Linked DNA regions of Oryzias latipes. The protein of the gene in region 1 interacts with the protein of each later gene in a biochemical or structural test. Links are inferred from orthologs where the notes say so. Each region holds a gene or a part of one and is shown in the gene's direction. Other genes may lie near its edges. The genes, in order: beta-2 adrenergic receptor and grk6.

Region 1 (4,475 bases):
GTGCTCCTTTATTTCTTCTATATACTAACAAACAGGCAAGATGACCATGCCATAAGAATGGTCACTTTGCCAATGGTAATTTAGGTCACACATTTACGTCATCTCATTGTTCACCTTGTGACTGTAAAAAGATGAAACACCTTGATAAATGTCAAAGTGTATTCCCATGAAGGATTTCTTCTAAATGAGGGCTCAGACATATGGCATCTCTTATCTTTAATCTTGTCATGCCTTGAAAATCCACCACGAAACACCAGGTTTTGGTTTCTATGGTTGGTGTTAATGCAGGTATATAATCCAAAAAACGTCAAGCATCCTCTATTTAATCTCAGGAGTGGAACTGTCTTTGGATTTTTTCCAAACCACGTACGCTCTAATCTATCTAATGTGCGTAGAAGAAAATTATGCAATTCAAGATTTTGCGCAATTGAGCAAAAATCTTTGTGATCTTTAAGCAAAAAATCAGCGGTAAAAAACACATTACAACAGTCTCAAACATTTGCAAAAATCTTTGTTGTTTTCTTTTTCTGTAGTTTGTAAACCTTTTAAGACCTGTAACCTAAAAGGATAAATAAAATGTGCACGTTTATTGATACTTGCACATTTAATACACCTTCGAGAAAAAATACTTTAAAAAAAGGCTGAAGTACAAAAGTGTCACAAAAGATTAGGTTAAAGGGTTAGGATTGAGGGTATTGGATCATTTTATTACAGAATCATTTTTAAAAAGAGATATATTAACTTAAAAGAATTCAATAAGCATTGAAGACTTTCCGTGAAGTGTTTTTACGCATTCACAAACCAAGCAGAACTATCATTGCATTGTTGAAATTTGAATAAATGAGGTTTAGTTTGCATAGATCACATGTATGGAATAAATGTGGTCATAAAAGTGCAAATTTGTTCTTGATCCTCAAAGGCTTTCTTTTAGCTCTTGCTGTGAAGATCACTGCGCCTTTTACGTACCAAAACACTGAGGTCATTTTTACAGTTTGACCTTTGGATGTTAAAATGTAAGCATATGTTCTTGTATTGGCGAAGGTCCTGATTTTTATATAAAAGAGCAGCCTACAAAACTCAAAGGTTTTGTCAGGACAAGAAGTGTGTTAAAGCTCCAATCCAACCACTCAATAGATCTTGACAAAATTCACTGAGCTACACTTGCCAGTTGGATCACTTGTGAATCCAGCCTGATCTTACAAATGCTCAAAAAATGCTTTAACTAGTTTTAATTGGATACAGATTCACAAGCATGAAGCTGTAAACTCATACAGGAACATAGCATAACAGGAAGTAGACTTTATGACTCGAGCTGAAATACAGCTCGTAGATTTCAGTACAAATTTGCAGGTTTTTTAAATATGTAAATGTTTGCCTGTGTTGGCTGCCGTATGTCTCATGCAGCCCTGCAGCAGCAGCTGTTGGGACAGTGTGTTCAAACTCCTGTGAGCGCTCAGCACCCTCCACAGGCTAGTGCGCTGATTGGCTGAGCTCTGACTGTGATGTCACCATTGCATGCTATAAGGACTCTGAGACACATCAGAGGAAACACTGCTCAACGGAACGACTTGGTAGAGAGACAACTGGAGCTCAACCCGAACAAAAAGTACAGGGGCATGTGAGCCTTGCCAGTCTTACAGGAAGTATTTCAACACTGACATTCTGACATTTTTATGGGAGGCTGGGAGCAAAACAACGACCTGTCGAGGTTGGTATTTTTGCTCTTTCTTGACTCAACTTGTTTTTAAAGCATGGAGCCAAAAAGGTCGTTATGGCTGGTGCCTCTGCTGTGTTTTTTTTAATCTTTTGTTGCTTTGCTTGTTTTTTTGTTTCAGATACAAACATTCATGTTTTAAACTTTATTATTGCTGCATTTATTTAGTTCCCATAAGTTAGATACATGTTTGAATTGTGCACTTCCCCTCTTTTTACTGTGTCTGATGATTTTCTGCATGTGATTTCTTCAGATGGGAGTTACAGTCTCTCCAGTCTACTCGAATGTGAGCACTACGTCATTGTCCAACAACGAGACGGGCCACAACGAGATGGGCCTCAACGAGACAGGCCACAGTGAGACGGCTATGATCCTGATGGGCATCGGAATGTCTTTTCTGGTGCTGTGCATTGTCTTTGGAAACATCCTGGTCATAACAGCAATCGCTCGCTTTCAGCGTCTCCAAACTGTCACCAACTGCTTCGTCACATCTCTGGCGTGTGCAGACCTGGTCATGGGTCTCATTGTGGTTCCCTTTGGTGCTTTAAACATCATCTTCGTTAAATGGCACTTTGGTAAATTCTGGTGCGACTTCTGGACTGCCACAGATGTCCTCTGCGTGACTGCAAGCATCGGGACCCTTTGTGTCATCGCTATTGACCGTTACGTGGCCATTACTGCACCCTTCCGCTACCAGTCACTATTGACAAAGTGCAGAGCTCGAATTGTGGTCATCTTTATATGGGTGATTGCTGCTTTGACATCCTACCCGCCCATTCATATGAACGTGTGGAGATCCAATACATCGGAAGCTGAGAAATGTCTTAATAAAACAGACTGCTGCCAGTTTCACACAAACATACAATATGGAATCACCTCCTCCATCATCTCCTTCTACATCCCTTTGATCATCATGGTTTTTGTCTACAGCCGTGTTTTCCTGGCGGCCAAAAGGCAGCTAAAAAAGATTAACCAAAGCGTTGGACGCTTTCATGTAGATTCTTCGGAGGACAAGAATGGCCGTGGACAAAAGAAGGCAAAGTTTTACTTGCGTGAACACAAAGCCCTGAAAACTTTGGGTATCATAATGGGGACCTTTACTCTTTGCTGGCTACCATTCTTCATCCTTAATGTAATCGCGTCCATATGGAACGTGAACAACTATAGCGTATTTATGATTCTGAACTGGATAGGCTATTCAAACTCTATGTTCAACCCTGTCATTTACTGCCGGAGTCCTGAGTTCAGGTACGCTTTCAAGGAACTCCTGTGCATCAGGAGGAACCATCTGAGCCACCAAGGCCAAACAAATGGATACATCTACAGCAGGCACAGCTGGCAGAGTGAGCAGCAAGGGAGGAGCAAGTGCAACTCGGAGGACAGTGATGCCAATGAGGCTTGTCTGATAAAAGGTGCAGGGGTGGGCAGTGGTGTGGACAGAGCCATAGACCCCAATGGAAACTGCAACAAAGGTATAACGACTGTCACAACTGCCCTTTAAGCACGGACCACCGACCCTTCAGTCAACAGAGAAAGATGAAAGCCTATACACTTATGAACATTTAGGGCTTTTCTCTCAATCGCTGATTAAGGTAAGGCCAGTCAAAGTGGCTGGCAGTGTTTCAAAAGTGTTTCAGAGAACCTGCAACGATCACATCAAGCTGAGGAACATTTTTTTTAAGTTAAACATAGTGACTACATATTGTAATGTATTTTTTTTATTACATGATGACTACATCTACCTCCCTAACGGCTTTACAGTGTTAGTTTCTTTACCGGCTTACATTCTTACCTTTGGAGTTAAACGAGAGCGATGTCTCAGCTGTGTGTTGAGCCTAATAAATGGCGTGTGAATAGTACATTTGCAGATTATAAGGCTTCATCCAAAACCTTAGGGCATGCTTTATTTATTTTTTGCTCTTTCTTGAGGAGGGAAGCCACAGTTTTTTGTATGGTATAAAACTGTATTTGAGATTTTCCATGCGATTTTTCTTCCAATGCAAAGAATGGATTTTTGAACCAGTCTTGGTCTTTGCATCAAAAATTACATTCCGACAACACTTGAGGAATCTATTAAGTTGTAATCTTTTTTTCAGGGAGCTATATTGGCTACGCGTGAGGCAAAACACGTCTCAGTCCTGCTCTACTGTGCAAGACTGTGTTTAAAGGAGTTTATGTTGTCAGCAGAAAGCACAAGAGATATGGCTGGCTAATCTAGATCCTAATGCTGAGCCTAAGGAACGCCTGTAGCTGTTGGGTTAATGCCATCATAAAACATCAAAGCTTGTTTTATCAGATAACGAACCGTAAAATACCTATAATTTTTGGGAGGAACGCTAAGTGCAATAATATAAAACTTGGGCTGAAATGCTCACCGTTTTCATAAATTCAAACATTTCTTTTGGCTTGTTACATATACCTGAACTATGTCTATTTTCCACTTGTTGCAAATCTAAAACCACTTTTTTGTTACAAATAACAGTGAGAACGACGATTCTTTTTCTTCTGTGCGACAAATTTGAACCATAGTTGACCCATAGCTGCATGAGCCTTGTTTGTTTATCAGATTTTGCAGTTGCCATGTTTCAGTATGTGCACAGTTTACCGCAACCAGAGAAGCTGTTTCCTCATAGTGCAAGGGTACAGACAACACGTAATCATAAACAGGGTGTGAATGCAGCCAAATGACAAAGTTCTAGCACCAAGCCATAACGGTGAAGTCAGCAACCAGACAGAAAAAAGAAAAAATCCAAAGCTTGTA
Region 2 (2,570 bases), on another chromosome or scaffold:
TTATACAGCAAGTGAGTATATATGTGTGTGTGTGTGTGTGTGTGTGTGGGGGGGGGGGGTGCTATTGTGCCAGTTTTTAACGACATATATGTTTGTCTTGTCCTTTTGTTTTTAAATGTCATCATGTAAAGCACTTTGAGTACTTTGTGTTGTAAAAGTGCTAAACATATAAACTTTGAACTAGCTACCTTTTCCTGTTCCCACATTCAAAGTCTGTACTCTCAGCACAGGGAGACTTGCTTGGGCCCCTCATGGCTACAGTCAAACTTCTAAAAAGAGTTTCTACATTTCAGACTTTAGTTGATTAACTTAACAAAAAGGTCCGAGCTGTTTTGCTGAAGTGCAGATGGAGTTTTTTGTTTCTCCTGCAGATGATCGAGACGGAGTGTTTCTTTGAGCTGAATGTTTTCCACCAGGACGGCGTCGTTCCCCCCGACCTGGACTGGAGGGGTCAGCCGTCTCCACCCCCTAAACAGGGGCTGCTACAGCGGCTCTTTGGAAGACAGGTGAGTTAGCAGGTGGCAGTTACAGTAGCATCATGATGGCCTTCAGAGGTTTGGTTGGGGGAGGAGCCTTCAGAGGTTTGGTTGGGGGAGGAGCTTTCAGAGGTTTGTTGGGGGAGGAGCCTTTAGAGTTTTGCTTGGGGGAGGAGCTTTGGTTGGGGAAAGCTTTCAGAGTGTTGACCTTCACTAAGAAAACTGGGATATGATGTGCTCTCTTACTCCTCCTGCAGGATTGCTGTGGTAACTGCAGCGACAGCGAGGAGGAGCCCACCCGGCTGTGACAGACTGGCGCTCGCCACCTTTTGTTTACAACTTTTGCACATTTGTATTTTTGGGTCGTTCCATCGCTGGATGTCAGAATGTAAACCTCCAGCGGAACAGCAGTTTTTAAAGTTATTTAAGAATGAAAATAAGGAAATCCTTTTTTATGGTTGGCTTCCGTGTTTCGGGAAGGCCTCGCTCTTTTCTCCCACTCTGGACCAAGCGCCTGCTGTATAAGTGCCTTGCTCGAGGGCACAGTGGCAGGACACCCTCATCAGCCCCTCCACTTGCTGCATTTTTTCCACTCTTTTTGCTGCAACTGTTTTTCAGTTTTTAGCCAGTTTTTGTGAATTTTTGATATAATGGTTTTCTGGAGACAATCCATCTGTTCAGCCTCGGAGTTCTGGAGTTTTCCTGATCAGATCTGGGCTGAACCGTTGTGCCTTTTCTATGTATCTAAGTGGAGCCACCCAGTAGCGGTCTACAGAGACCACTCAGGCTTTAACAGAACCAGAACCAAAACTAAACATGTGTAAAAGGTGAAATCTGGGGTCAGATTCAGGTGCAGAGACTCCAGATTCTTGTTCTGGTCTCACTCCTCATCCAAAGACGCTTCATCAAAGCTCGGATCACCAGGAACCAGATTAGCCGAGTCTGAAGCTGCTCATGGGGACGACGGACGCCAGTCCCGAAATAAATCTGTGACGTGGACCCAGCGCGGTCCGACGTCGTTCCTGAGTCACTAACTCCTCCTCACCTGTTTATGTTTAAGGGCAGGGATCAGAACCTATGCAATGATGAGGAAACACGAGTCTCAAACATACCTGGGTTCCAGGCAGGTGAGCCGAGCGTCTCCAGTCAGGATGGAGAGGACCTCTTCCACGTGAGCTGTTGAGAATGATTCCAATGAGACACGTTTATGGAAAGGTCTGGATTGTAACCACTTTGGAATTGTAGAAAATGTTCTTCTTTTCTCCTAAATGAGTTAAATGTTTGTCTGCTAAACTCCCTAAAAATTGGTTGTTTGTTGGAGTCAGAAATAAACGGAACTGATTCAGAACGACGTCTGTCAAGATGGTGGTTTATTTTTCATGAAGTCAGTCTGATGTGAGGTCTTTCCTCCAAGCAGATTTCAAGATCTGCAAATTAAAAACCAGATAGGCGTAAAAAGTAAAACTGTGGGATTACAGAAGGAGAGAAAAAGAGAAACATCTTTGACTTTTCTTTGAATGTGGCTCCGCCCACTAGTGGGTGGAGGTCTTGTGTTACCATGGCAACACAACACTGAAAAATTGTCATTCATACAAAACTGGCAAAACACATCAGAACCAAAGAAGATTGGAAGTCCAGATGTCATGACCCAACTTCAAGACATCAGAACCAAGAGCACTGACTTGTGGTGTTCCTCAGGGTCCCGTTCTAGGTCCCCCTTGTAGCTTGTGGACAGTTTAGTCGTGTCTCTCGTAGATGATTCCCAGCTTGAATGATAATTTAACAAAATAGATGTGAAGGCAGAAATCTGTCTTTGGGACTTTCTGTCTGAGATTTGAAGCGATAAAAACGTCTTTACTTTCAATTCACCTTTGAAAAACAAAACTATGTTTATTTCACTATTAGCTAAATTCCAAAAAACAATTTGTGACTAACTTTCTGTTCTTTCATCTGAACAATCTTGACCAGATTTATGTTTGTGGCCTTCAGCTGTTTGATTGGTTGTTCTTTTATTGGTGCAGAACCTTCAGCAGAAGGTCCACATCTCTGCAGAACGTCTGACCTCTGAGATTCAGATCCAAAGTCTGAGAGTTT

Evidence for each region.
Region 2: the proteins of beta-2 adrenergic receptor (region 1) and grk6 form a complex in vitro, tested with the Homo sapiens proteins (2 studies listed by BioGRID, with this or other methods). The link is inferred for Oryzias latipes from reciprocal best matches to the Homo sapiens genes ADRB2 and GRK6.

What each region holds. Positions count from the first base shown.
Region 1 is NC_019868.2:20,753,252-20,757,726, forward strand, and holds the start of beta-2 adrenergic receptor, read left to right. Parts: upstream 1-1,535; 5' UTR 1,536-1,708; intron 1,709-1,967; coding exon 1,968-3,215; 3' UTR 3,216-4,475. UniProt on the Homo sapiens protein: Beta-adrenergic receptors mediate the catecholamine-induced activation of adenylate cyclase through the action of G proteins. The beta-2-adrenergic receptor binds epinephrine with an approximately 30-fold greater affinity than it does norepinephrine.
Region 2 is NC_019872.2:29,855,961-29,858,530, forward strand, and holds the end of grk6 (G protein-coupled receptor kinase 6), read left to right. Parts: intron 1-371; coding exon 372-506; intron 507-733; coding exon 734-784; 3' UTR 785-1,827; downstream 1,828-2,570.